4 linked regions of the Stegostoma tigrinum genome follow. Each later gene encodes a partner of the first gene's protein in a complex. Links are inferred from orthologs where the notes say so. Each region holds a gene or a part of one and is shown in the gene's direction. Other genes may lie near its edges. The genes, in order: smarcd1, arid2, pbrm1 and dpf1.

What was found.
Region 2: smarcd1 (region 1) and arid2 share a complex: the UniProt entries of both Homo sapiens proteins name them as parts of the SWI/SNF-B (PBAF) chromatin remodeling complex. The link is inferred for Stegostoma tigrinum from reciprocal best matches to the Homo sapiens genes SMARCD1 and ARID2.
Region 3: smarcd1 (region 1) and pbrm1 share a complex: the UniProt entries of both Homo sapiens proteins name them as parts of the SWI/SNF-B (PBAF) chromatin remodeling complex. The link is inferred for Stegostoma tigrinum from reciprocal best matches to the Homo sapiens genes SMARCD1 and PBRM1.
Region 4: smarcd1 (region 1) and dpf1 share a complex: the UniProt entries of both Homo sapiens proteins name them as parts of the neuron-specific chromatin remodeling complex. The link is inferred for Stegostoma tigrinum from reciprocal best matches to the Homo sapiens genes SMARCD1 and DPF1.

The regions. Positions count from the first base shown.
Region 1 is NC_081404.1:15,152,333-15,159,622, forward strand, and holds the start of smarcd1 (SWI/SNF-related matrix-associated actin-dependent regulator of chromatin subfamily D member 1), read left to right. Parts: upstream 1-4,271; 5' UTR 4,272-4,285; coding exon 4,286-4,450; intron 4,451-7,290. UniProt on the Homo sapiens protein: Involved in transcriptional activation and repression of select genes by chromatin remodeling (alteration of DNA-nucleosome topology).
Region 2 is NC_081371.1:57,499,489-57,507,405, reverse strand, and holds the start of arid2 (AT-rich interactive domain-containing protein 2), read left to right. Parts: upstream 1-4,902; 5' UTR 4,903-5,522; coding exon 5,523-5,626; intron 5,627-5,815; coding exon 5,816-5,909; intron 5,910-6,613; coding exon 6,614-6,711; intron 6,712-7,917. UniProt on the Homo sapiens protein: Involved in transcriptional activation and repression of select genes by chromatin remodeling (alteration of DNA-nucleosome topology). Required for the stability of the SWI/SNF chromatin remodeling complex SWI/SNF-B (PBAF).
Region 3 is NC_081364.1:19,748,783-19,756,202, forward strand, and holds the start of pbrm1 (protein polybromo-1), read left to right. Parts: upstream 1-4,401; 5' UTR 4,402-4,518; intron 4,519-7,164; 5' UTR 7,165-7,231; coding exon 7,232-7,271; intron 7,272-7,420. Other genes in the region: gnl3 (guanine nucleotide-binding protein-like 3), read right to left, coding at 200-343, 4,096-4,154, 4,268-4,280. UniProt on the Homo sapiens protein: Involved in transcriptional activation and repression of select genes by chromatin remodeling (alteration of DNA-nucleosome topology). Required for the stability of the SWI/SNF chromatin remodeling complex SWI/SNF-B (PBAF).
Region 4 is NC_081392.1:15,780,069-15,787,681, forward strand, and holds the start of dpf1 (zinc finger protein neuro-d4), read left to right. Parts: upstream 1-4,598; 5' UTR 4,599-4,678; coding exon 4,679-4,710; intron 4,711-7,613. UniProt on the Homo sapiens protein: May have an important role in developing neurons by participating in regulation of cell survival, possibly as a neurospecific transcription factor. Belongs to the neuron-specific chromatin remodeling complex (nBAF complex).

The DNA.
Region 1 (7,290 bases):
CGAACAGCAGCACTCCCTCAGTACTGCACTGTGGTGCGTCACCCTCACAGTCATATAGGCCCTTCGGCCCAACGCATCCAGGTTTCCCAAACCTTCCAGTCATGGTAACATTCTTGTCAATCATTTTTTTGCATGCTTTCCAACTTAATAACATTCTTCCTATAATAAGGCAACCAGAATTATACACAGTATTCCAAAAGTGGCCTCAGCAATGGCCCTGTACAGCCACAACACAATGTCCCAACTCCTATACTCAATGGTCTGAAGTAATGAAGGTAGGTACCCAGAACAGAATTATAAACTAAAAGTAAAACCCTGTGGTTGCCAGAAATCCAAAGCAAACACAGAGAATGCTGGAGAAACTCAGCGAGTCGGGCAGCGTCTGTGGGGAGAGAAACGAGTGAGCGTTTCAAGTCTGCAGAACATGAATTGTGAATGTACACTGTAAAGATAAACTGTAAGGACGAGTTTAATGAGGCTTGTCACAGTCCGAAAAGCAGTCACGTTGAACTTGTAACGTTAACTCTCGTTTCTTTCTCCACAAGGTCTCGGAGGGGAACTCGCAGGGCAGTGGTGTTCCCATGTGTCTGCTGCCCTTGTCCTTCTAGATGGAAGTGGTCATGGGTTTAGGAGGTGTTGTCTGAGAATCTTTGGTGAATTTCTGCAAAGCCTCGTGAAGATAGTTCCTATCTCTCTCTCCCTCTTACCCCAACATGAATCGATTCAAATTGTTCCCCTACTCGGGGCGACCGAATTAAGCCTCGCCAGATGGGTAACAGATTTGTCGTGGTGTGAGGCTCCATCACATCTTGCTTTATGACAGGGTAGAAAGCTTCTATTTTTCTAGCCTTTCTTCTTGAATGGCAGCCTACCATTACCCTTTGCTGTCATGTAGTCCTGCAGCATAACCACGGTCTTGTCCAAATGCAATTTACGTCCTCGAATTTGTACCATCCACCTTCCCCTATGCAACACAGATATGGCAGATCCACAGAACCGTAGCAGCTTACAGGAGGTCATTCAGCCTCTTGAGTCTATAGTGGCTCTCCAAAGGAGGAACTCAGTCAGTCCCACTCCCCCTTGTACCCCTGAATAGGATTCCTTTGCAGATTCTTATCTCATTCCCTTCCTGAAAGCATTGATTAACCCTGCCTCCATTACACTCTCGACCACTTGCATTGTAGACTCTAACCACTCGCTGCAGTAAAAGGGTTTTTTACTGTGTGCTGCCCTTGTATATTTCACCAATCACCTTACACCAGTTTTCCTACCACTCTGCCCAGACCTTTCTTCATTTTGAACAGATTCCCCCTCAGTCTTCTCTTCTCCAAGGGGAATAGTCCCAGCTTCTCCAACCTACTCAAAGTGTCTCACCCCAGGACCATTCTCATGGATCTTTCCTTCACCCTCTCACATGCTTCATGTAGTGCAGGACCCAGAACTGGGCGTAATCATCCACTAAAGGTCAAACCAGTGTTTTCTAAAGGTTCATCACAGAATCCCTATAGCGTAGTAGCAGGCCATTCAGGCCATCAAGTCCACGGTGACCCTCCAAAGACCATCCCATCACACCCCCACCCCTCAATAACCCTGCATTTCCCATGGCAAACCCACTTAGCTTCCTGGACACCATGGGGCAATTTAGCATGGCCGATCCACCTAGCCTGCACATGTTTAGACTGTGGGAGGAAACCGGAGCACCCGGAGGAAACCCACGCAGACACAGGGAGAATGTGTAAACTCCACACAGACAGTTGCCTGAGGCTGGAATTGAACCCGGGTCCCTGGCGCTGTGAGGCTGCAGTGCTAACCACTGAGCCACCGTGCTACCCTTACATGCTTTTACTCACAATGCTTCGATATATAAAGCCTAAAGTCCTGTACACCTATGAAGCATTTCCTCAACCTGCCTTGCCACATTCCACAGTCTGTGTACATTTAACCCCACATCACTCTGCTCCTGCAACCTCTTTAGAGATGTACCCAACCTTATATGATGCCTTGCTTTGATCTTCCTATCAATATAGTTTGCTTCTTTGCATTACATTTTCCACATGTCTGTCTATTCTACCAGCCTATCCATGTTATTATGATCCCAACTGATGTTAGCACTGGAAATGCCAGATCCTGGGCAGAAATCTGGCTTGACAGATCGTATCTTGTCTTTCTTTAATTCAACAAGGTAGTCTTTCATTGAAATACAAACACATAATGCTATAGATAACAAGGTGTGGAGCTGGAGGAGCACAGCAGGACAGGCAGCATCATAGGAGCAGGAAAGTTGATGTTTTGGATCGGGACTCTTCTTCAGAAAATTCATTCCTTGAGTGTCCATACAACTGACCTTAGTCTTTCTCAGCTTCAAATAACTCCTTCAAGGTTCTAACCAAGCACTTCTGGTCTAGGGTTTCCAAGCTAAACTCCTGATGGTGAGGTAACCTATTTTCTTAACAATTCTTAAATATCGCCCTTCTTTAGAAGAGGCTATTTTACACATCTCAGGTTCACCAGGACATGAGCTATAGGTGTTTCCTCATGCAAAAAAAAGCTGATTTGTTTAACTGAAAGCCGAGCACTTCTCAATGTTTAGCCTGTTTACTCAGTAAGCTTTCCCAATACAAATACATTCCCACTGCTTCTCCAAAAAAACCCCTCTCTCATCGTTTTTTTTGAAAAGAAAAATGACAGCTCTGGATATAGTGGCAAGTTAATCATTCAGCTCTCTCTCATACACAGATCAAAGCCCAAATGCCACTAGTCCAAAATCCAAGTTCTAAACTAAATTATAATAAAACCTATATAAACCACACAGCTTACATCACAATGTCCTCATTCACTCTATCATCATCCTCCTCAGGGTTCACAATAGTTGTATCATCTGGAACTGTTGAAATAAGCCCTAGACAAGTAAATTTTGGTCATTAATATAGATCAAGGAAAGTAATGGTCCTCATTTCAACATGGCAAACTCTACTCCTCCTTTACAAAACAACCTTTCACCCCCAACTGTTCTCTGTCACTCAGTTAACTGCATAACCCCTGTTGCCACTGTCCCTTGCATGCCTCACTTTTGCCAGCAAGACCATTATGTGGCACTTTGTCAAATGCTTTTCAGAAGCCTATTTAAATCAAATCAGCTGTATTACCCCCATTAAACATTTGTGTTACTTCATTAAAAAAATCTCTATCAGGTTAGTGGAACAGGACTTGTCTTTAACAAATCCATGTGAGCTTTCCTTCGTAAATGAGTCAGGCGACGATTAATGTTAATCCCAATTATCACTTCTAAAAGCATTTTAACCATGTAGGTTAAACTGACTTCTTCTCTTCGTCAAACCTGAGCTCAGCCAGTATCTTAAGTATGACAGCGGCTTCCTCATTTGTGGCACGGTGGCTCAGCGGTTAGCACCACTGTGTCACAGCGCCAGGGTTTGATTCCACCCTTGGGTGACTGTGTGGAGTTTGTACATTCTCCCCATGTCTGCATGGGTTTCCTCCCACAGTCCAAAACTATACAGGTTAGGTGGATTGGCAACGCTAAATTGCCCATAGTGCAGGCTGGCTGGGATGGCCAAGGGGGATGCAAGGTTACAGGGATAGGGTGGATCTCAGTGGGATGCTCTTTGGTGGGTTGGTATGGACTTGATGGGCCAAATGTAAGGATGCTAAGATTGTTAAAAGCAGATGCAGTGTACTCATTTGATACCTTGGATGTGCATTTGTCCCTAACTGATCTATCCCTTCTCTTCATGTAATTTTGTTACTTACATATCCCAAAAAAGCTTTTGCATTCCCTTTTGAATTGACTGCCAATCTCCACTTATTTTCTATTTGTCTCCCTTCCTCACTTACCCTTTGAACTTTCTAAAAAAAACTCTCAATGATCAGGCAGCATGTAACTCACTGGAAAAGCCTTGGTTAGCCCAATGACTACATGTTACAACGTGACACCGAATAAAACCATGTGGATTTAACTCTCCCACCAGCTGGCGCTGTTCTTGGGGCCTTCTCCGTTATTTTGCAGTCTCCGCCCTGAGGGTGGCGCTGCTTCTGGAGTTCAAGACTTCGCCCTCAGTGTGACGCCATTTCTGGAGTTTCGCCCTTGTCCTGAGGATGGCCCTGTTTGTGGAGTTTAGTCTCCGCCCTGAGTGTGTCGCCGTCTCTGGAGTTCAGCATCCGCCCAGAGGGGGGCGCTGTTTCAGGCGATTAATTAACGCATGCGGGCTGGGCCGCGTACCGGAAGCAGTGTTATCGCTTTCCGGTGCGAAAGAGTTCCTTCTCGAAGATGGCGGCGCGAGGCTTCCAGACAATGAGCCCGGGCGCGGCGGCTGCTATGGCAGCGGGTCCGGGGCCTGGCCAAGCACAAGGGACGGGGCAGGCCCCGGGCAGGATAACAGGAGCTCAACAACAAAACATGTTCCGTTCAGCCATGCCAGGCCAGGGATACCCGGTAAGTGAGGGGCCGGGATATGGAACTATGTGTGATGAAGGGGGTGGGGGGAAAGGCGAGGCCCCTTGTCCTGACCAAGGCAGGTCCCATTCCTTAAATCGAACCGGCCACAGCCAGCAAGCTTCCTTTCTTGCCTCCTGAATGACCAGATTGGTCTTTCTACATCTGACCTGACCCTAGCTTCCTTTGTTTCCTTCAGTTGGATAATTGATTGCATCCCCTAAGGCTGCTTCACATTCTTGCCTTGCTCTTTAGGCCCGAACAGACTGGTTTGTAATGTCTTATGATTATTTTTCTACAGTTATGTAAGTTGAAAAGATTTTATTTTGAGTCATGTTCAGATTTGACTCTTAGTCTTGAATTTGGAAGCTAGTTGTGGTTAAATCTGAACAAGATGCTACTGATGTAGGAAACTTGAACTTAAAAAGAGAAAAATGCTTGATATTCTCAGGATCCCTGTGGCTTTGATAGAATCATAGGGGTTTTGTTCAAAGGTGGCTGATGTACCTGGCCTGCTGAGCAGTTTAAAACATTTTCTGTCCTGTGTTGAAATACAGGCAGATGGTGATGAAAGCTGTTGGCTGTGAGAACCAGGTGTAAATTGTGTATGGTAGATAGTGTTTCTCTCAGGCAGTGACTGAGAACCCTAGTTCACCACAAATTGGCCAGCAAATGTTAACAGAAAAGCAAAACTTGTATTTATATAAGGCCTTTCACAACCACCAAATATCTGAAAGTGCTTTTGATGAGTACTCTCAATAATAACACAGGAAACATGGCAATCAATTTGTGTACAGCCATCCCCCACAAACAGCATTGTGATAAACAATTTGTTTTGGTGATGTTGATTGAGAAATAAATATTGTTCAAGACTCCAGGGAGATTGCTACTGTACTTGTAATCACAGAATGATTATGGCATGGAGGGGTTGTTCAACTCTGCTGGCCTGTTGAAGAAGCAGTTTGCTTCTTGCCATTCTGCCTTATCCTGCAAATGCTTCTGGTTCAGACAAAAATACAAGTCTTTTTTGAAAGTCTCATTTGATCCTGCCTTCACCACACTTGCAGGCAGTGCATTCCAGATTCTAACTGCCTCATGTCTTAAATTGGTGTCTTCGGGTTCTTGATCCTTCAACTAATGGGAACCGTTTCTTTCTCTGTACTTTGTTCAGACCCTTCATGGCTTTGAACACTTCGATCAAGTCTTTTCTCAGCCGTTCCCAAGGTGAATAGTCCCAATTTCTCTAATCTGGCACTAGATCCACTTGACACACCACCTTCCCAAAATCTAGGCCCAGCTAAATCTTTCGCATTGGACTCAACATACTATTGTAGAAAAATTCTCCAGAGCACACTCTTTGTACTCTTGTTTGTCTCTTCCCTTTATGCTACTGTTATCTTAGTTTTTATTTGGATTATTAAAGTTCTCTCCCATTATAACTCCTCTGTGTAATTCTAATGCCTCTGTTATTTCCTTGCAAATTTGTTCCTCTACATTTTTCCCACTACTTTGTGGCCCATAGACTACACCAAGCAATATAATTAGACCTTGTTCCCTAGTTCTAAAACAGACTTTGTACTTGACACCCCTGAGGAGCACACTTTCTCCAGTACTGCAGTATCTTTCCTGGACACCTTTTATTCAAGCATTCTGAGCATCAGGTCCTTCTGTAAGTTTAGTCTTCCCATATGTCAGTTTGCACTTGTTGCTCACCAGTCTGCACATTCCCAAATGTCCACAATAATCCTAATTTAAACTTTATTCCTTCTCTCTTACTCCTAGTCTGACCCTGCCTGGTATGTTGCTATTGGCTATTCGAATGTTGTCTGTTTCTGCCTTTGCTTTCTACACCCCTGTCAGATTAGTTTAAATTTTCTCTGATAGCATGAGCGGCTCATCTTGCGAGAAAGTTGTTCTGAGCTCTGTAAGACATAGGAGGTGTGGAAGTAAGGCCATTCGGCCCATTGAGTCCACTCTGCCATTTAATCATGGCTGATGGGCATTTCAACTCCACTTATCCGCACTCTCCCCGTAGCCCTTAAATTCTTGATCTCGCAAGGAATTATCAATCTCTGCCTTGAAGACATTTAAAGTCCCAGCCTCCACTGCACTCCATGGCAATTAATTCCACAGGCCCACCACTCTCTGGCTGAAGAAATGTCTCCTCATTTCTGTTCTAAATTGACCTCCTCTAATTCTAGGGCTGTGCCTAGTCTCCCTGCCTAACAGAAACAACTGCCCAGTGTCCACCCTTTCTAAGCCATACATTATCTTGTAAGTTTCTATTAGATCTCCCCTCAACCTTCCAAACTGTAATGAATACAAATCCAGATCCTCAGCCGTTCATCGTATGTTAGGCCTCCCATTCCAGGGATCATCCGTGTGAATCTCTGCTGGACACGCTCCAGGGCTAGTATTGTCCTTCCTGAGGTGTGGGGCTCAAATTTGGACACAGTATTCTAAATGGGGCCTAACTAGAGCTTTATAAAATCTCAGAAGCACATCGATGCACCACTGCTACTGAGCATCATGTTAGCTATACCTGTATCCCTTTGCACAATTGATAATGAGATATCTATCAATTTATACCTTAAACATACTGAAAGACTGAGCGTCCACAGCCCTCTGGGGGTGGGGGAGAGAGTTCTAAAGGTTCACAGCCCTTTGATTAAAAGAAATTCTCATCTTGGTCCTAAATGGTATTCCCCTTATTTTTTAAATGGCGTCCCTCCCTCCCACTTCTCAACTCCCCAGCAAAGGGATGTATTTTGCTTGCATCTCCTCTTTATCCCTAAAATATTTTGTAGGTTTCTCATTCTTTGAAATTCTTGAGGAACAGG
Region 2 (7,917 bases), on another chromosome or scaffold:
CAAAGGCCCTGTATAAAATTGTAGTAAGACACCCCTGCTTCTGTACTTAAATCCTCTCACTGATATACCATTTACCTTCTTTACCACTTGCCTACCTTCAACAACTGAAGTACATGAAGGTGTAGCAAGGACATCCAGGTCTTGCTGCACATTGCCCTCTCTTGGTTTAGTGATCTGCCTCCCTGATTTTGCTGCCACAAATGGGCAAACTCACATTTATCCAATGTGCTGCATTTGACACATTCGTTCAGCTTGTCAAAAATCAAGTGAAGCAGTAAATATCCTGCTTGTTACTTCAAAGAATTAGTCAATAATAGAACCGTATATAAATTTCACAAATCTATTGCCCAACTGACTGCAGATTTAAAATAAATTTTACACTGGCCAAAACGTTTATAACATTTGCTAAGCATTTATTAAAATATTAAATAAATTGTTGAACTGCTGCAAACAAAAGACAATACTATTTCAACATAATCATCATATTACTTCAAAAAAACAGCTAAATCTTGAGTTTCAGTTGAATTGTAGTCAAAGAAAGGACAAGTCTAATGGAGGTACACTAACTATGAAATAAGTAGTGTTGTCATGGCTGGTATGGAAGAGAGATAGTGGGCAAAAAAGAAAATACCATTTAAAGAACTGGAAGAAAAAGTATTATTTAATACTTGCAATGATAGAGTAAATAGAGTGTCTAGTCACAATCTTTGAAATATGCAAGTACGAAAGTGGTGCTAAATCTGCTGGCAAAAGAACAGAAAACTGACAGATTAATGAAATGTACTTTTTAGTGGGAAGATGTAAATGGTAACAACCTTCAACGTGTACGAAAATCATAGCTATTTGTCAGACTGTGGTCATGGTCACGTCTGTTCTCCTGGCCAGAAGGTTCACTTTCTGGATATGTGTCACAACACTGATCAGTTTGATTAAGAACATTACTGGATTTAGTTATGAGAGCCGCAATTATCAAAATGCTGACAGCACAGTGACCGGTGCTGTATGACAAGTACATGACAAAAGAGATTCCGCATGCCCGTGGGCACCCAAAATGTGAACGGGCATTCCACAAGCACTACTTTTTAGCAACTACTAACCAATGCATATTGTAGGCCATCCACTTTTGGAAACAATTTATCAGCAAGGAAGGTAACTCATACTCTCAACCAAAGGAACTTAGATTTTGGAACATTGTAATTTAAAGCTCCACGGAGAGGATAAAATTAGGTGTCCATTTTATGGATAGCAACTTCTCTAAAAAAATTGATTACTTCGATCAAAGGCACTGAAAGTTCCTCCACAAGATGTTTGTCATTTGCCATACACAACTAGGGTGAATTGCTTTTTCCTCCTGTTGGAGGAAGTAGATTAAATTATGCAAAACAAACTGTACTAGCATCTACAAACTTATCTGTGACTGGCCAAAAAGAGCTTAAGGAAACTTTGATACCATGAGCACATTATTTTAAACCACCAACCCAGCAGCTCAGCAAATTAAAACATCAAATGGCTGAGCCATTAGCTCACAAACTATTAAGATTTGATCATCAGAATCTAAGGGAGGCTATTATAACTAATTCAGCCACATTGGCCCGAGCATGAAAATGCATGAGCTTCTCATTGCTCTGCTACAAAGAATCCAAATTAGCAGAAATTTACAAAGGACATGGGGTTGGGGGCAAAGAGGAGCAGAAGCAGAAAGCAGGAGAGAAAGAAAGAAAAAACAGACAGGTTCCAGTCTTTACAAACCCACACTGGCATCAGGTCAAAAAAAAATGAAGTTTAGAAATCTGGGTTCCAAGTACATAACGTGCTATTTGTAATTTTCAAAAACAAACTAATTTATTAGCATCTAATCACAGCTGAAGATTAGTGACTTTCTCTACTGTTAAATTTGTACTTAAACTATATCCCCACCTCACTGAGAATTAATCACCTCATCAGGAATCTCCATTTTCCCTTTCAAGTCCTTCAATATGCCGACATCCAATGCACGAATGAGGTGAACTGCTGATTACTACACAACTGTCTAAATGTACTTCTAACAGTTGCCAATCTTTCTGTTAGTCTCACCACACTATCCCTTCATTTGTGGGATAGACTGATCTAACCATTGCAAAACCCACCCCTAATTCTCCAAGGTAGTTATGGTGAGAAGCTTCCTTGAACAGTTGGGTGTATCTACATTATAGGTCCCAGAGTCCAAATGTCAAAACCATCTTCTTTCTGTTAGCTATGATTCTAACAGCAAAAGCAGAGATTGTTCCTCCCAATTTGCATCGAGTCCAGTTTTACGAGGGATCCTCAATGCCACCTGGTTAAATGCAAGCCTGAAGTCAAGGGCAGTAACACTCACTTCCCCTCAACTTCAGCTCTTTTCTCTATGTCTGAGCCAAGGCCATAATGAGATCAGGAGCTGAGTAGGTGTGGTGGAACTCAAACAGAGCAATGAACTGGGTTTTGTTGAGTGCCATTTGACAGCACTGACCATGCCATGATTCATCCTTTAGGGTCCACAGCTTTTGCAGTACGCAGTTCTGTTAGCTGCTTCTTGAACATCACAGTCAATAGAACATATAATTGGCAGAAGTCTGACAACCTCAGGAGGTCACGTGTCTACTTAGCACTTCTGACTGAAGATGCTTGCAAATGCTTAAGCCAAATCTTTTGCACTGATGTGTTGGCCTCCAACTTATTTGCAGAACCACTTCCTCAAATGATCTGTTTAATTGTGCACCAATTGATGTGGAAGGACTGCACAGCTTACAGTTGGTTCTATTAGGCATGGGATTACTTAGCTCTATCACATGCAGTTTACACTTAAGCTTCGAAGGCTCACTGAAGATGTTACCTAGAATGGTGACGAAACGTCTGAAAACTAACCTTCCAGCTCAGCGAGCAAACTCACATCCAGAACCTCAACCTGAGCTACAAGTCTTCTCAAAACTTGCTATGTGTTGTTAAATTTTACACAAGTTTTTAAACATGTAAGGGGATGTGATAGCATGGTCGGTATGCTTGCTAGATGATTAATCCACAGATCCAGATAATGTTGAATAGTGGAATCTAAATTTGATAAAAATCTGGTATTAAAGAGTCTAATGATGACCACAAAATCATTGGCTGATTATCGAAAAAAAAACACTTATCAGGTTCACAAATGCCCTTCAGGGAAGGCAACTGCCCTACATGTGACTCCAGGCCTGCAGCGGTGTGGCTGATTCTTAAATGTCTTCTGGCAAATTCGGAATGGGCAATAAATGCTGGCCCACCCAATGACACCAAGTGTTGGAGGGGTTGTCAAAGAGGAGTCTCCAGTCCTGTGTCTAGGAGCACACATGGATCTTCATTCACAACTCTTTACTATGCATCATGAGGGGTGTTCCAAGTCAGTGTTACTGGAACACACTGCCTGCATCCCCAACCCCCCAGTCAAATACACTAATAGACAATAAGAAAAACTTGAGATAACAAGGTGTGGAGTTGGATGAACACAGAAGGCCAAGCAGCATCTTACTCCGTCTTCCCTACCTCCCCACCTACACTCACCTTTACTGGCCCCATCCCTGCTTCTAACTTGTCTGTCTCCTCTCCACCTATCTTGTCCTCTATCTATCTTCGATCCACCTCTCCTCTCTCCCTATTTATTTCGGAACACCCTTCCCCTCCCCCATTTCTGATGAAGGGTCTAGGCCCGAAACGTCAATAAAAAGCTTTACTGCTCCTAACATGCTGCCTGACACTCCTTATGCTCCATGGTAATTTCGATATGCCAATCCCTCCGTCAAGCGCTCAGGATGTTGTGGTAGAAGCATATACAAAGCGGTATGAATATTATCAAATGAAGATTCAATTCTTTTCCGCTTGACATTTGAGGGTCTCCGAGTACCTTGGAAGGATTTCGGACGAAGATAAGCTTCTGTTGTTTCCCTACACACGCATCTCCAATAATTCAACCCTCAGCCCGAGCACGATAAAGTAAGGGTCTAGGCCCGAAACACCAGCCTTCCTGCTCCTCTGATGCTGTGTTCATCCAGCCCTACACCTTGTTATCTCACAACAAAACCCACTGGTCCGGGATATCCCCGTTGATGAAAACACCTGCAAGTCAAAACAACTGCCTGCCCTGGGGCTCCCTGTCAACTTTTAAGCAAGAACAAGACTAAAAGTAAAGTACCCACGACTGTTTTTCACCAAAGCACACATTATTTTAAAGGAAGACCTATCATGTCACTCTAAAAGCCGAAAGGCAAAGAGCAAAGAAAATAATTAGAAGCATTAACTCTGATTTCTCTTCGCAGATATTGTCAGGCCCGCTGAACTTTTCCAGCGGCTTCAGTTTTTGTTTGACTTAACATCTCTCCCTTCACACGGAGGCTCACACAACACTGTTTCCAGCAGACGACGGCCACCACCTTCCTTTTTATAAACTATTTTTAAATAAAAACCACGAAAAAGATCGCAGCGCTGCGCCTTCTTCAAAGGAGTCCGCCTGATTTGAATAAAATCCTCGCTACACATAATAACAAATAAAAAGACACACATACTGTACGCATAAATACATACGAGTCAGCGTTTGTGCGGGAACCATAGGGAGAGAACCGAACGTCTCCTCAATCCCTGTTGGGCGCCGCCATTTTGTGAGCCGTTACCCCGGGACTGGGCGGGAAAGTGGGCGGAGGATGAAGCAGCGCGAGAGAAGGGGAAACTTGGAGGGGGAGGAGAGAGCAGCGCGAGAGGCGAAAGTGGGCGGAGTAGAGAGCGGCGCGGGCGGGGAGGAGGAAGATAGACGAGAGCTAGAGTGGGGGAGGGGGAAGGATCCGCGATGGGGGAGGGGTGTCGCGTAATGGTTGAATAGTGGCACCCCCTCCCGGGGCCCAGGCTGTGGTGGCCGGTTTGGTTGAGACGAGGCGCTATTGTTTCGCTTCTCCGAGGGAGGTTCGAGCTGCCGCCGGTGTTTCGGCCGCCAACAGCACCGCCGCTGTGTTTTCATTCCTTTCTCCCCCCCCCCCAAAAAATTATATATAAATGTGTGTGTGTGTGTGCGTGTTATGTTTTTTTTTGTCCTCTCCCGTGTATGAGTTAATGTTAAACTGCATGGAGCCGCTGCAGCCCGTCTGAAAAGAAAAATATATTTATACCATAAATACACACACTTATATTGTCTACCACATTAACATACAATAGAGAACAAGATGTAAGTTGTTTTTTTGTGTGTGTTTTTTTTGGTTGAGAGGAGATCGAAGAGTGCAGCGAGTGAGTAAAAGCGAGTCTTTGCTCTTTTTTCCTCTTTTTTTCTCTCTCTCTTAAACTTTCGCACTCGCTCCATCAATGACTGAGCGGCGGCGGCGGCGGACCGGCTCTCCTTCCAGACATTGACTAAGTTCCCCGAGGCTTTTTATTTTTATTTATTTATCCTTTACGCCCACCCCCCACCCCTTAAAAAAACTCTCTCTCTCTCTTTCTCTCTCTCTCTCTCCCTCTCTCTCTCTCTCTCTCCCCCCCCTCACACACATACAACAATGAAAAAGATGGCAAATTCGATGGGGAAAATGCAGCCGTCAGACCCGAGGAGAAAAAGGCAGGCGTTCCTGGAGGAGCTGCGGCAGTTTCACCACAACAGAGGGTAAGGATTTTAAACACCCCCCCCCCCCAACCCCGAAATTTTTATTTATAATTTAAGGGGAAAAACCCGGGGGATACGTTGGGCGAAACTTTGGACGGGCGCTTTGGTGAAGAGGAGGTGAGGGTCTGATTTTATTCTTCTTTATTTCTACCCCCCCACCCCACCCCACCACAACCACTTCTTGTTCAGGACGCCTTTTAAAAAGATCCCAATAGTTGCCGGAAAGGAGCTGGATCTTCACGCTCTCTACACCAGAGTCACCAGCCTGGGAGGATTCGCCAAGGTGAATATCTTGTGTCTGTTGTGTTTAATTTAATTTCTCGCCGTACGCGCGTCTTAAAAATCTGTTATCACCACCAGCACCCCCCCCCCAACGTTTCCTTTTTGGAAAACCCGCTCGGAAGGGCTGTAGTTTTATTTTTAAAGGTTTACAAAGGAAAAGATTTCTGTCGTGTGTGTGTGTGTGTGTGTGGCAGTGAAGCTGTAAATGGCAGTTGCCTGTCTCTGGCCTGGCGTTGCAGTTGCTGCGGCTGCTTCACTGCGCGCACTTCAGCCAAGTCAAAATTAGCGGGCATGCTTAACATCGATAATCGTGAGTGTGCCTGGGGTAGGAAATGCTCTTCAGGGGACAGGCTCGCACCACTCGTTTGCCTTTCTTTTACTCGCCGCAGCGGAGGGGACGGAGCTCTCCGCTGTGTCAGGCTTCGTGGTTGAGGGGGAAAATCGTAGGCCTCACGTAGGCCCGTAGGGTGGCCCGAACGTTTGAAAATGCGAAGACTTGTCGACCCCCCTTTTTTGTCTTCTGAACCAGGAAAGTGTTGCAAAGTTTTTGTTTTTTTTCGCTCCTGACCCGTTTTTTTTCTTTCTCAGGCAACATTGCGGCGCTGTTCATGTTGTTTTAAAGCCTTAGAAGGAACAGATGGTATATTCTGCTATCTGATAACGTGTCTGCATATTAATCAGGATTATTGTGTTTTTTTGGTGCAGGTAACTGACAAGAACAAATGGTCACAGATAACGGAGGAATTAAACTTTCCGAAAGGTTGTCCGAATGCATCATTTGCCTTAAAACAATATTACTTACGGTGAGCTTTATAATGCATTTTATGTTCGGTTCAAGTCGATTCTTGCTATAGCTGTTCAAAGTTGGGAACAAGGGATTTAATTTAGAGAAAATAGTGATACTATTGCAATCGTACCTTCTTATTTTTCCTCTTGAAAACGACATTTATTTTACTTTTTGTAGAAATGAAATAATAATGCTTTTTAAGTTTTTGAAATTGATGTTTGAACTGTTGTTTCGTTTTTGGGGTTTTGAAGTATTATGGCGAGTTGATCTAAAATGTATTAAACTTACAGAGCAAGAACACTGTACAGGTGTGACCCAGTTTTACGGTAGTTTATAGTTGAGGCGTTCTGCAGCATTTACAGCAGTTCAGAAACTACCTGGAAGGAAGTAGCATACGTGAAACAACGCAGGTGTTTTCTGTTGGTAAATTTTGTTGCCAGAACAGAATTTTTCCAAAAACCAATCAGTACTCCAGCTTTTTTCAAACTTTTCATCAGGGAGATTTTGACAGTAATGCTTGATACAGTATGTATCTTTTTTATTTAAATGTAAATCCATAACTCTTTCAAAACAGTAAAACCAGTTTGATGTAGAAGGGCTATATTTTGTAAATTGGTTTAAAAGTGTGTAGTGTCTTGTTTTGTCCCAGTATTTTTATTTCCTTTCTTTTGCAAGGATGGTTAATTTTTTTTGAAAGTTATGGAAATGAAATAATTTAATGGTGGATTCACTGAGCTGAGGCAATTTTTCCACTGGATGTTGGGATTGATGGGAAGTTTGTGGATAAGAATGAGGTGAAAAGGCAAATTTGGTTTAAGCATTATGAAGATGTCGTGCTTTGGGAGTACTTGGATTCTGAAATAGTTGGCTTTGTGCACTATTTCCACTCAATAGTGTTGTACAAATTTAGTGGTTCAAAATAAAATTAACATTTCAGAAGCCTTGAACAAGCAGTGCAGAAAATTTTGTCGTGATTAACTTGCACAACGTTTAAAATTTCCAGGTTAAGGTTCAATAACGGTTGCTTCTGTTCATTTCAATGATATTGTTTGTGTGTTCTAGAAAAGCTGCATCTGTTTGAATTCAAAAAAATTCGACAGCTTATCTGACAACTTTTGGGTAACTTGGTATGAGAATACTTGAATGTAATTTGGTCATATTTAAGTAATACAGCAGAGAGTATTCCAAATGGATTTGAGAGCATCTGTTGGAGTGCTGTATA
Region 3 (7,420 bases), on another chromosome or scaffold:
ATACCAGATAACTTCGGGTTACATACTCAAACACATTTTGAGTTTGAGGAAATTACAACATATTTCAAGATGTCAGCTATCTCAAATTATGGCATCGTAAATGCAGAAGTCACTAATTTAGTTAAACTGGCATAGAAGCTTGCGTCAGACAAAGTACTATAAAATATCAAACATCTGTACATAAGCAGAGTCCTCTTACGTTTTGTTTCCTTTGTTCAGCCTCTCGAAGAACTGCTTCTTTAAATGGAGCATTATTAGGCACACCAGGATCCTTTCGAGATTTTTTACTTTTATTTCCTTGTTTCTTTGCTTCTTTTCGTGTTTTCCGCTTATGTTCACGAACCTATGATTTAAGTTGAAACATTAACAATGCTGCTGCAACCAGACTCCAGTTAGATGGGGCTTTCAATTCAGAGAAAATATAAACTTTTTTAAAAATACGATTAATCCTAGATACATTTAATTTTGTTTTTAATTTAATTCTCCGGTGAATCTGCACTGTACTCGTTCCCAGTTGAATGGATAACTTCCAAAATCCAAAGCCTAGCGCTGTACAAAGTGCTCCTGATACAGTCTGAACTGGGCCTTGTATAGCTGCTGCAACAATTCCTCCTTTTTCTATCCCAGCTCTCTAATCACAAAGGCTAACATTCCATATGGCGTCTTGATTATTTTACAAGACAACTTAGTTATAGTGATGTGTCCATAGACTTCTAAATCTCTAATATCCCAATCTATGGGTGGTGGAGGTTTATTTTCCCAGGAGCATCAGAGGCTGAAGGACATGGATAGGGTGAATAGGCATCTTTTCTCCATGGTAGTGGAGATCAAACTAGAGGGCATATGTTTAAGGCGAGAAGGGAAAGATTTAAAAGGAACCTAACGGACAACTTTTTCACACGTAGGGTGAAGCACGTATGGAATGAGCTGTAGGAAGTGGAGACGGCTGGTACAATTACAACATTTAAAAGGCATCCACATCGGTATATGACCAGGAAGGATTTAGAGGGGTATGGCCCAAATGCTGGCAAATAGAACTAGATTTATTTAGGATATCTGGTTGCATGGAGGAGTTGGGCCGAGAGGTCTGTTTTCATGCTGTACATCTCTATGACTCCTAGCTTTTTGCCATTGAAAATATATTTTTTAAATTACAAAATGGATGGCCTCACACTTACCTACAATTCATCTAGAAGTTTTGTCAACAGCTCTCTCTTTTGACACTTTAAAAAAGATTCAGATTGTACATGTGGCAAGTTCAGCAGATGCACACTTCATGAAACACCCAACTCGTAAAAACACAGCACCCAAATAAGCACAATAAACATGATGGAATGATGTCACTGACAGTACCGGCAAACATATTATGCATGCTCATTTTTACACTTGCACATCTAGACCATTTTGGTGGTGTCAGCAAGTGTTCTTTGTCCACTTACAATCTTTCAATTCTGTAATCTTGTGCTATTTTCTAACCTAATTAGAACAACAGCAATCATTTGCAAACAAATGTTGCCATCTATTTTTATCAAATCATTAAGACAATGGTAGTTGAAGGCCCAAGCACTGATATTTGTTGGGCTCTATTAGCCATTTCCTTTCCAATCAAGCTCATAACTTCTAGATAGAGACACTTTCCTCCTAACAGTAGTTACTGGCTCAAAAAGATTAATTACATTAATTAGGCAAGACCTATCCTTTACAAGTCTGCATTTGTTCTGTCTAATCAGCACTTTTTTTATAGTGTCCAGTCATTCTGTGTTTAATAATATATTCGAATAAGTTCCCAACAAAATAATTGCCGAGTTTCTTTCTTTCTTTGCATTGTACGCTACAACAGCACTATTTTTCTTGCTGGCTGGCACCTCATTGAAAGTTGAAAAAATGTGTCCAGAAATGGTAACACCTGCAGTGTTCCACATATTAATACAGAGGTTGAACAATATGTACAGATTTTAAGTGATCAAGGAATGTAAATAATTTATAGGATTATTGCACCATGATATTGGCTGTCACTCAAAGCAGTTTTGATAATCACATATAATATTCCAAGATAACGAATGGGTAAAATTTGGCAAATGGAGTATAATGGGGGAAAATGTGAACTTAAGATAATAAAATGTGAGGCTGGATGAACACAGCAGGCCAAGCAGCATCCCAGGAGCACTTGTTCATTTAGACTGGAAAGATAGAAAAACCATACACTATTTAAATGGAGGTAGACGACAGAACTTGGTAATACAGAGGATGGATGTTTTGATTTATAAATTACAAATTAAGCATGCACGTTATTAGAAAGGTAAATGGGATGGTGGTACTCATTGCAAGGGGAAAGGCATGAAAGCAGAGTATGTTTAGATGCGGCTGTGCATGACATTGGTGAGACCACACCAGGAAAATGATACAGTCTTGTTCTCCTCAGTTGAAAAAGAACTGTATTAGAAGTAGTTTAGAAGTAAAACCGAGCTTGTACTCACTGAGTTGAGAAGAATGAGGGATGATCTTATTGAAATATACAAGATACTGGGGCAAACAACATGGAGAAACTCAGCAGGTCTGATAGTGTCTACAGAGAGCAAAGAAGAGTCAACATTTCAGGTCCACTGACCCTTTGTCACAACAAATGTCAATGAACTTGAGACATTGTTTCTGTCCCTACAAATGCTGTCAAACCTGCTGAGTTTCTCCAGCATTTTGTGTGTGTTTCAGATTTCTAAAATCCAATTCTTGTTTTTAAAATACTGGGGGGTCTTGATAGGGTGGTTACTGAGAGGTTTTATCAACTTGTGGGGAAGATTAGCACGAGAAACAAAGTACAAGTTTAAAAGATCTCCCATTTAAGTGAGAAAGTTTTTTTTTGAGGGCGGTTGGTCTGTGGAATCTCTTCCACTGGAAATTGTGCCACTAAATTAGGGCAGCACAGTGACTCAGTGGTTAGCACTGCAGACTCTCAGCGCCAGGGACCCGGGTTCAATTCCAGCCTTGGGTGACTGTGTGTGGATTCTGCACATTCTCCCCATGCCTGCGTGGGTTTCCTCCGGTTTCCTCCCATGGTCCAAAGATGTGCAGACTAGTTGGATTGTCCATGCTAAATTGCCCATAGTGTTCAGGGGTACGTGGGTTAGAGGGGAATGGGGATGGGTTTGGGTGGGATACTTCAAGGGGTGGTGTGGACTTGTTGGGCCAAAGGGCCTGTTTCCACACTGCAGTTAATCCAATCTAATAAATATAAAATTTATCAAAGGCTAAATTAAAAAGATTGACACACATCCAAGGTTTATGGAGTCAGTCAAATTGTGAGACTGAGACCCCAAAATTATCAGCCATTGTTCCAAACGGAGAAATAGCCTCGAAGGGCCAAATGACCCAGTACTATGTTTCTTTGTCACGTTATTAAAAATGGTCAAATCTGGGTGGTTTTCTTCAAAAAGGCTCTATAGATTGTAAATTGCAAATTTCTTGAAATATCAATGAGGTATAACTGCACACTAATTCAAGCAGTGAATTACAAAAAGTATATAGAATAAACACTAAAATTACAACAGAAACATGTCTGTTGACATTTAGTTGACAAGGACCATAAGTCATGCTCACATATGTCCACTCTATTCTTGTTTATCTCTCTTCCGTCAGCTTAACATAATGAAAAGATTTCCAAAACTCCATCTTAAATCCGTATCCTGAACTTCTCAATCATTACAAAATGCATTTCATCTGCTCTTTGTTAATAATCTAATCATCCAATACTCCTGCCCAATCATTTAAAAATGTGAATAGGCTGCAGTAAACTTTTTCTAAATAGCGTGATGTACAAAAATTGCAAGGTGCTCGAACTGCATACTAAGAGTTTATACCAAATTGTACTTGACTATGTGTTACGCAGTTTGCCTTAAAGCCACGTGCTCGTACAAGTACTAACTTAGGTGATTGTGAAGGGGCTTGGCGCAGTTCAGGTTGGCTATAAAAGTACTTGCTCTTTCTTTAGCCAGTTTCAATACATTACGATCCGGTTATTATATCTCACAAGCTTTCCCAGAGCGAACAATGTACCCAATATTGGGGCGTCCACAACTCGTGGATTCCACCCCGGCTCACCTTTCGCTGGATCTTAAATCGCTTGTGGCATGTCAGGCGCTTGCTCGCCTTTTTCAGCTCTGTAAGGAAACGCAACAATGAGGGCAATGAATCGAAACAATACTAACTCCTGCGGATAAAAAAAAGAATGTAACGAACAGTAAAGACTACAATTCCACGCCACACAACTCACTCGGCCGCTTCATACCGTCCGGCTGCAAAAAGAGCAATCCACGTGACAAAGTCCCAAACGTCCCATCGCCTGCCGTAAACACACAGTGAGAGAGCACGTCAATGTCGTCAATACTCTATCCCCGACCCGCTTTACGGCTGAGCCGCTGATGCTGACGATAGGGGCATAGTTGGGTATAGGAGGAGACTGTGGATCTCTTGTTGTTATTATTATTATTTTATCATATATTCTTTCGGGATCAGCCGAGTAGGGTAAGGACGGCTTCGGTTGCTGAGTTGTACTGAGATGAGTGATGTGTGGAAGTTGTGCCTGCAGTCTTTTTCCAGTTTGTTTTTGCGTGGCTGCCAAGGTGTTTGTGAGGCTCAGGCCGCTGCTTCTTTTGTTGTCAGTCAGCTCCCGGGAGTCAAGATTTCAACCGCGCGATGGCTTGTGTCCACCTCTCAGTTCATTCCACCTTTCATTCAGCGCCTAAATGAGCTGTTTTTGTTTCTGCCCATATTGAAAGGAAGCAGATATTTTAACTTTTACGTTTAAGCCTATTTTTCGCCCTGTTCCAAAGGTATGAATGAAATGTACCCTGCCTACATCATCCAGACATCGTTGCTGGATATTCAGTGATTGAACGTACATTTAAGATGTCAAGACAATGAACTAGTATTGTTGTCAGTGGGTTTATTTTAAATTGAAATGGAGCTGCGTACAATCGGGGAATAAAATCTGCCGGTAATCCTAGGAATAGAACACTTCCTGATTAGGGGAACATGCCACATTTTTATGGTTGTTGTCATAACAACATTTTAAGCATATTTACATTTCTAAGATGGCACTTCAGTTTTTAAAAAAGTTGTCCAATTAAACCAAATTTTCCACATAGTCACAGTTTACTAAGATCCACTGGGCAAAAACGTTAGGCCAGAATTTGCTGAGAAAGTAACAGTGAATTCACTGTAAGTTATGAATTTGTAAGTAGCGCAGCTATTCATGGCAACTTTGAGATAACCTGATGTGTTGCATGTTATTACAAAATTTGCTTTGCGAAAGCAGGAGCTGGCAGCCAGCTGACCTGTGACTTTTAAGAAATTATTCTATTTGCTCTGTTAAAATGAATTTTGACTTGTTATAGAAAAGCAGGACTAGTACTAAATGGTGTAAGAACTGTTTTAATTACAAGATTCATGTTTCCACAAAGTCACCTCATCTCTAACTTTAAAAGGAAATAATTAAGACAGATGGATCTCCTCTACAGATTATAAATTGTGTTGTTTAACTTTTCCTTTTTGACTCTCTTCCACTTAAGCTTACATTTCTCTCTTCCTTTTTTTACACACTTCTGACCCATTCTATTTCTCCAAACATTGCTTTTCTTTTTATTTTTAATTCTTATCTCATTAGTTTGTGAGATAGACTGTTCATCCTGTCATTGACGCAGTTAGTCTGCTATCTTTACGGTGAGTCCATCAAATTGTCAGTACTGAAATAACTTCTTCAACAAATGTGAATGATTGACATTTATTTTGACATATCAGTATGTTATCCACTTCGATATTATCAAAATTAATTTTGAATTCAGGCAATAAACACGATGCTGCTTCCATCTATAAATTACTATCTTCCTAAGAAACTTCTTTGCAAAAAAACTCCAGAGATTTTTATGCACTGAGGCGCCCTGCATTTGAATCTATGGAAAGATTATCCGTTTCTTCAAGATGTGCACCATTATTTGACTATTTAAATTACGAGATAATTACGTCTGTAAGCTCTGGTGATACCCTGTTAAAAATGCCGGCACAATTATTTTGTTCTCTGTTCTAAAAAATGTTAATTTGTCCTCTTTGAATTTCACTGACTTAATAGTTTGGAAAGTACTGTTAACCATGTTGTCTCAATGATTAGAATCATTCAGTCCACAAAAGGCCCTTCAGCCCATCAAGTTGACCGATTCCAACTCATTACACCTGATTCTCATGCTATATGTTAACTTTAGTACAGTATCTGCTGGTAAAAACTTTAAATATGAGGCTGCCTAATATAAATCAAAACATTTGGCTACCCCTGCCAGCCAACAGAAAGTAAAGAAAAACACCTGCATGAAGGGTTTGTTACAGGCATAGAACATTGATTTGACAGCTGCAAAACCAGTACATAAGTGGAAAGAAGTGTGCTAGTGCAGTATTTTTTTGTCTGCAGTTTATGACTGGGAGGAGGTAGGATAGAGGTGATATCAGGAGTGTTGCATTCTGATGAAGAGTCACTGAACCAAAAATATTGACTCTGCTTTCACTCCACAGATGCTGTCAGATCTGCTGCATTTCTCCAGCAATTTCTATTTTTGTTTCAGATGTTGGGAGTGCATAGACATCCCTAGCTTATCATAGAAAAATTTTAGAAAGACAAGAGAAAGGCTTTTTTTGGACAAAACTAGGACATTCAGCAGAACAAATCTTTGCGTAATAGCATGTAAACTTTCTTTGAGTGTGGCCAACCAATATAAGATATGATTTAGGATATTGTTGTCTAATTTTCCTTTTACTGTCCCTGAAAAAAAACTCCTATGGTTAAGCAGTGTATTTGTTTAGCCAATTTAATACTTAGAATCAGACAAAGTCACATGAATTGGAACAATTTCATGAATGAGACTATACTGTAAAGGTATCTGCCTTGCTACAGCTGTGTTACTTTCCCATGTGCTGTTTCTGTTCCCCACCCCAGTACCCTGTTTGTTGTGCAAGTAATAACTGAAGAATATAAAAGAAAAGCAAATATGGAAAAAGATTGGGCAAGGGTGGTGGTGGGAAACTGCCTGACAATTGTAGGAGTAAGTATTGTTTATGAGTGCGCAAGATTTGGGTATCATTTTTGTGTGTATATTTTCCCCACATGCTTTCAACTTGGTCCAGGCCTCAGAGGTTGGAAGTTTGCTCTATGACTTTAGAAAACTGAAGTTGGACTAGACGGACTTTGCATATGAATCGGATGACCTTTTGTCCTAATGTGGTGTTTCCAAGTGAGCACTTTATGTTCTGTTAGATTGTATTTTTACAAGTTGTATGTTTGTCTATGGCATAACCTTAAATTGCTTAATACTGCTATTTGATACTGTTAACTTTAAATCAATTATTGTTTGTGCCTTGAGAAAATATGGAGAATGGTTCC
Region 4 (7,613 bases), on another chromosome or scaffold:
TTGACACCATCACTTTGATAAACTGTTATGATCTCTCTACTTTAATTAGTTGGTGCAGTTTTATATTGTTGATGCTCAGGTTAGACCCTCGGCATGCGATTCTCGAGCCCCCTCATGTTATTCCAGCCATTTGACTCATCTCCAGCACCACCTTAATTTTATTTTTTTTTGTAATTATCTCCTTGCCTCATTAATTGGATTATAGGTCATCCCTTCACTTGTTATTCACACTTTACTCACACCATCTGACACTGCGGATCACTTACAGAGTTTATTACTGATACTCCACTCATACTAGTGTGTGATCTTTTGATCTCCCTGCCTAGAACATAGAACAGTACAGGCCCTTTGGCTTACAATGTGCTGAACTTTTATCCTAAACCTAAGGTATATCTAACCTCCACCCCTACCTTATACTATTATCCATTTGCCTATCTAATAGCCGCTTAAATGCCCCTGATGAGGCCGACTCTACTACCGTCTCTGGCAATGCATTCCATGCCCCGACCACTCTCTGAGTAAAGAAGAACCTACCTCTGATGTCTCCCCTATATCTACCTTTAAAACTATGTTCCCTCATAATAGTTACCCTCACCTTAGGAAAAGGTCTCTGGCTGTCCACTCTACATACACTTCTGATCATTTTGTACACCTCGATCAAGTCACGTTTGCTTCCCTCTCACTTCACCTGACAAAGGAGCAGTGCTCAAAAAGCTTGCGATTTCAAATAAACCTTTTGGACCGTAACTGATGTCGTCTGATTTCTGACCTTGTCCACCCCAGTCCAACCAGCACCTTCACATCATCCTCAATACCTCTTCATTGGATAGCCCCATTATACTAGGAATCAGTCTCAGGGAACCTCTGTTTGCGGTACATCCTTCCTCAGATGGAAGGATTAAAATCGGGAATGCTCAAAAGGCTGGAATTTGGTGGGTGCAGAGATCTCTGATGGCGGCATGGTGGCTCAGTGGTTAGCACTGCTGCCTCACAGTGCCAGAGACCCGGGTTCGATTCCATCCTCGGGCGACTGTCTGTGTGGAGTTTGCACATTCTCCCCGTGTCTGCGTGGGTTTCCTCCAGGTGCTCCGGCTTCCTCCCACAGTCCAAAGATGTGCAGGTTAGGGTGGATTGGCCATGCTAAATTGCCCCATAGTGTCCAGGGATGTGTAGGTTAGATGTGTTAGCCATGGGAAATGCAGGGTCACAGGGGAAGGGTAGGGGATGGGTGGGAAGCTCTTCAGAGGGTCAGTGTGTACTTGTAGGGCTGAGTGGCCTGTTTCCATGCTGCAGGGATTCTATGGTGATGTGCAGGTTAGAGTGGATGGGCCTTGCCAAATTGCCCATAGTATCCAGGGATGTGTAGGGTTACAGGGGTTTGGGGTGGTGGGGTGGTGTCTGAAGGTGGGTTGTGGACTTGATGGGCTGAATGGCCTGCTTCCACACTGCAGGGCTTCTAGGTTCCCAGGGTTGGAGGTAGTGGGGCTGGAGGAGATGGCAGAGATAGAGGGAGGCCATGGAGGAGATCTGGAAACCCAGTGATAATGATCAAATCAGGGTGTTTATTGAACAGCAGCCAGCGCCAACCAGTGAGCAAGAAATTGTAAGCACAGAGGTAGGCCATTCAGCCCATCAAGTCTGCCCCACCAGTCAATGAGATCGTGGCTGATAGGTTGTGGGGGGGATATTGAAAAGAAAGGTTGAAATACATGAGATAATGGGAACTGCAGATGCTGGAGAATCCGAGACAACAAAGTGTAGGGCTGGAGGAACACAGCAGGCCAAGCAGCATCAGAGGAGCAGGAAGGCTGACGTTTTGGGCCTAGACCCTTCTTCATTTTCTGAAGAAGGGCCTAGGCCCGAAACGTCAGCCTTCCTGCTCCTCTGATGCTGCTTGGCCTGCTGTGTTCATCCAGCTCTACACCGTGTTATCGCAGATTCTCCAGCAACTGCAGGTCCTACTATAGCTGAGAAAGTGTTAGGAAATTCACATTTTAACATCTCAGTGGGAGCAGCTCTGACAGTGTAGCTCACTCAGAGATAGTAAGAGCTGCCGATGCTGGAGTCTGAGATAACACAGTGTGGAGCTGGAGGAACACAGCAGGTCAGGCAGCATCAGAGGGGCAGGAAAGTTGACATTTTGGGTCAGGACCCTTCAGAAATCTGAAGATTTCAGAAAACCATTTCTGAAGAAGGGTCCTGACCCGAAACAGCTGCCCGACCTGCTGTGTTCCTCCAGATCCACACTGTGTTATCTCTGAAAGTGCAGCCACCGGGAATATCAACCTGGAACAGGTGCTCAAGTCTGGGGGGTGAAGGGGGTGGAAAGGGGATTGAACACATCCCTTCCATTGACGAGGCGGTGTTGGTGAGAGCATCGCATACCAAGTGACTTTAATTCTCCTCCCCACCTCGAGTTGCCCCTGTATCACATGCGCCGACCATTACATCCAGCCAAAATTGAAAAACAAATGAAACTTCTGGTGGTTAATTTTCTGCAAACGTCAACACCGCCCATTTGAAAATTTAAAGATATAAAACTCTGCAAAAGTGGGGGTGGCAGGGACTGCACATGTGGAGTGAGCTCTCTTTGGCACTTCAAGTGCTCATCGAAACAGTTCCCCCAAAATATGCTAAGAGCTCCTGCCTTTACCACCCTTTTGGACAGTGAGTTCTAGATACCTCTGGGTAAAAAAGATCTTCCTGAAATCCCCTCTGAACGTGCTGCTCCTTGTCTTTAAACTGTGACTCACAGTGAGAGACCTCTCCACTAGGGGGAAAGTTTCTCCCTGTCTATGCTGTTCAGATTTCAGTGCACCCTTGTCAAGCCACCCGCTCCGCTATAGGGAAATTAAGCTCTCCCTTCTCTCTTCATAGCTGAATCACTCCAGCACCACATGAACATCCCAGTTAATCTCCTCTGCACCCTTTCTCTCTCTCTACAGTGCAACAAAATCCCTGAGGTTTGTCTGTTTGTAACTAGGTGAATCTCCTCTGCACCCTTTCTCTCTCTCTACAGTGCAACAAAATCCCTGAGGTTTGTCTGTTTGTAACTAGGTGAATCTCCTCTGCACCCTTTCTCCCTTTCTCTACAGTGCAATCAAATCCCTGAGGTTTTTCTTTTTGTGACTAGGTGAATCTCCTCTGCACCCTTTCTCTTTCTCTACAGTGCAAACAAATCCCTGAGGTTTTTCTCTTTGTGACTAGGTGAATCTTCTGTGCACTCTCTCTCTTTCTCTACAGTGCACCAAAATCCCTGAGGTTTCTCCGTTTGTAACTAGGTGAATCGCCTCTGCACCCTTTCTCTCTCTCGACAGTGCAATCAAATCCCTGAGGCTTCTCTATTTGTGACTAGGTGAATCTCCTCTGCACCCTTTCTCTATCTGTACAGTGCAGTCAAATCCCTGAGGCTTCAGTGTTTGTAACTGGGTGAATCGCCTATGCACCCTCTCTCTCTCTCACTACAATGCAATCAGATCCCTGAGGTTTCTCTGTTTGTAACTAGGTGAATCTCTTATGCACCCTTTCTCCCTTTCTCTACAGTGCAATCAAATCCCTGAGGTTTCTCTGTTTGTAACTAGGTGAATCTCTTATGCACCCTTTCTCCCTTTCTCTACAGTGCAATCAAATCCCTGAGGTTTCTCTGTTTGTAACTAGGTGAATCTCTTATGCACCCTTTCTCCCTTTCTCTACAGTGCAATCAAATCCCTGAGGTTTCTCTGTTTGTAACTAGGTGAATCTCTTATGCACCCTTTCTCCCTTTCTCTACAGTGCAATCAAATCCCTGAGGTTTCTCTGTTTGTAACTAGGTGAATCTCTTATGCACCCTTTCTCTCTTTCTCTACAATGCAATCAAATCCCTGAGGTTTCTCTGTTTGTAACTAGGTGAATCTCTTATGCACCCTTTCTCCCTTTCTCTACAGTGCAATCAAATCCCTGAGGTTTCTCTGTTTGTAACTAGGTGAATCTCTTATGCACCCTTTCTCCCTTTCTCTACAGTGCAATCAAATCCCTGAGGTTTCTCTGTTTGTAACTAGGTGAATCTCTTATGCACCCTTTCTCCCTTTCTCTACAGTGCAATCAAATCCCTGAGGTTTCTCTGTTTGTAACTAGGTGAATCTCTTATGCACCCTTTCTCCCTTTCTCTACAGTGCAATCAAATCCCTGAGGTTTCTCTGTTTGTAACTAGGTGAATCTCTTATGCACCCTTTCTCTCTTTCTCTACAGTGCAATCAAATCCCTGAGGTTTCTTCTCTTTGTGACTAGGTGAATCTCCTATGCACCCTCTCGCCCTCTACAATGCAATCAAATCCCTGAGGTTTCTGTCTTTGTAGTGAGTGGGCATTGCCACCCCAGGGAAAAGGGGACACAAGAGGGGAGAGGACTACAATTCCCAGTCGGCACAGATTACTGCCCCCCATAGTGGAGGATAGCGTGGGGGGATGGACTACAACTCCCAGCAGACACTGGGATTACCCCCCATTTCCCCCCAATCTCGCCCCCGGAGCTGAGGCGCAGGCGCGGCCACGCCCCTCTCCACACAGGTGACGTCGCTCCCCAGGCACCAGGGGGCTGCTGATTGGCTGTTTCGTGGCCGCAGCCCTGTTCCATATTGTGAATGGTCCAAATGAAATGTTAAAACCACAATTGTGATCCTACTGTATTTTATTGTATCAAAATGGCGACAGTCATTCAGAATCCTTTAAAATCGTGAGTATCTGCAAAAATTTCTGCCTTGCATTTTTGCAATTTCCCCAGACCTTTCTTGCATTTGGCAGCCCTCTTAAATGAAAAAAAAACTTGCATGCAATTCAGGAGAGGTTTTGCAATAGATGCCAAGTGCATTACACTCAATAATATTCTGCACCCTTCTATTAGTGTTGCATTTTTTTTTCTTATGCAGGTTGCATTATTTCTAATTTTTTTTCAATGTTGTTCTATTTAATTTTCTTTTTTTTGCCCCCCCCCATTCCCCTTCCATTTCAGCTGGAAACTGTTTGGATGCAGTTGCCTCCTCACCTTAAAGGTGACTTGCTGGCATGTGGAGTATATTGTAGCCCAGTGTTATATGTGCTTTACAGTGCTGGCTAATGGGCTGATCAGGGCTCAGCGGCAGCGAGCCGCTCGCCTTTAATGAGAGCAAGGGGAGGGCTGCAGCCACCCGCGGCTCGCCAGCGCCGCCCGGGGGCAGACGCTGGGGACTGCAGGGTAATTAAAGGCGGTGGAGCGGGCGGCGAGACGTTGAGCCGACAGAAAACAACCCCCCCCCCCACCCCCATCAAAGAATATCTCCGTTTGCTGTTTTGTTATGTTGAATACCTGTTTCAGTTTTGCAACCAAATCTGAAAGCTCGAGATTTTTGTCATACTTTTGATTTAGTGAAATGTCATTTATTTTCATTTTTTTGCCTTGTGTGCCTGATAAATGCCTCTCTGAAGGTTAGGGAGAAATGGGTTGTGTTTTCTTTTCAAATGTCAGCCTCTCTTGGTTCCCTGCAGCAATTCTGAAGATGCAGGAGGGGGATTGACAGCACTGAGGGCATATAAAACACATTGCACCCCCTTCCCCAACCTCCACCAGGCACCCATTTCCATCCTTGGTGCGTGTTCATCAACCACACAGAAAGATGAGGGTAACTGTGAACACTGATGGTCACCAAACCCAGCAGTGAAGTGGAATACTGCGGACTTCAGATAGAACATAGAACATCGAACATTACAGCACAGTACAGGCCCTTCGGCCCTCGATGTTGTGCCGACCTGTCGTACCGATCTCAAGCCCATCTAATCTACACTATTCCATGTACGTCCATATGCTTATCCAATGACGACTTAAATGTACCTAAAGTTGGCGAATCTACTACCGTTGCAGGCAAAGCGTTCCATTCCCTTACTACTCTCTGAGTAAAGAAACTACCTCTGACATCTGTCCTATATCTTTCACCCCTCAATTTAAAGCTATGCCCCCTTGTGCTCGCCGTCACCATCCTAGGAAAAAGGCTCTCCCTATCCACCCTATCTAACCCTCTGATTATTTTATATGTTTCAATTAAGTCACCTCTCAACCTTCTTCTCTCTAATGAAAACGGCCTCAAGTCCCTCAGCCTTTCCTCGTAAGACCTTCCCTCCATACCAGGCAACATCCTAGTAAATCTCCTCTGCACCCTTTCCAAAGCTTCCACATCCTTCTTATAATGCGGTGACCAGAACTGTACGCAATACTCCAAGTGCGGCCGCACCAGAGTTTTGTACAGCTTACAGATGGGCAAAGAGTGAGCCTCGTTTGGCTTGGCCTCTGATGCCCACCTAGTTGAATAGCCTGGGAGCAACAAATCAAGTATGCAAACCCACAGAGTGGAAACATTACCCCTGGGGGGTTGTCAGGATTGAGTGCCACACAATGCAGTTTTAAGGCCTGTGAGAGTAGGGCCAAGAGGAGAAATGTTTACCCACAGTGAGTGGTTAGGGTCTGGAATGTGCAGCTTCAGCTGGCAAAACAGACCTGGGTACCCGCTGAAGGAGATTGCGCCCAGGGCTGCGGGGAGGAGGTGGGGGGAGTGGGACCTCCTTTGGAGAGCCAGCCCCTACACGATGGGCCGAATGTCCTCCTCCTGCACTGTATCCTTTCTGTAATTCAGTGCTCGGGTTCACATTGCTAGGTCTTGGGGGTGGGGAGGGATTCAGCCCTGGACAGGGTCAGCATGAAGGGGGTGGGGGCTGCTGGAGGAACGTGTCGGAATTGGTAGGGACTGAATTTTAACAAGAGAGGGTCAAAGAGTGAGGCGTTTGCACGAGGTCAGGACCAGATGGGGAGACCAGCAGCAACTGGATGAACACAACACAGTCTCACAGCAGTGACACTAAGCACTGCTCCCCCCCCCCCCCCCAACAGTCCGTTTCAGCTGAAGGGCCAGTGCCCCTCGAATATTTTAGCTGTCTTCCCCCCCACCCACCCCGCCATGAGTCGCAATTAGATGGTAAGGATTCCTAACGGTCCCAGTCCCTGAACAGTTCTCTCTGAATTATTTTGGAGGAGAAAGGCACCGAGGAGCTCACGCTCAATGGTCAGCAGTTAGTCTGGATTCTGCAGGAATTTTGGGATGCACAGGGAAAGGATACCCTACACTTCACCAAACACTACCATCCCCCGCCTCCGCATACCTCCTCCCCACTTCCCAAAGATCCTGGTCCCACTTCACCTCTGCCACTATTGCCCTCCTCCCTCTGCCCTTTCTCCCTCAACCCTTCTTTCTTTTTCTCCCTCCTCCCCGCCTCTATCTCCCTCTCCTCTCCTCTCTAAACACCCCCCAAACCTCCTTTTGTCACCAGCCCATTCCCCCAGCCATTCCAGCCTCTTCACCCCTCAGCCTCACCTCCTCCCCCTCACCTGTCCACCTATTCTCCCCTTTCCTCTTCTCACAAAACCTCTCACTCTCCACTCAACCCCCTCCCCTCCTCCCTCAAGCCCCCCTCCCTTCCTCCCTCTACTCCCCTCCCCCTACTCCCCCTCCCTCTACTGCCCCTCCCCTCCTCCCTCTACTCTCCCTCTATTCCTCCTCCCTCCATTCCTCTTCCCTCTGTTCCCCTTCACCTCCTCCCTCCCTTCCCTCTCCT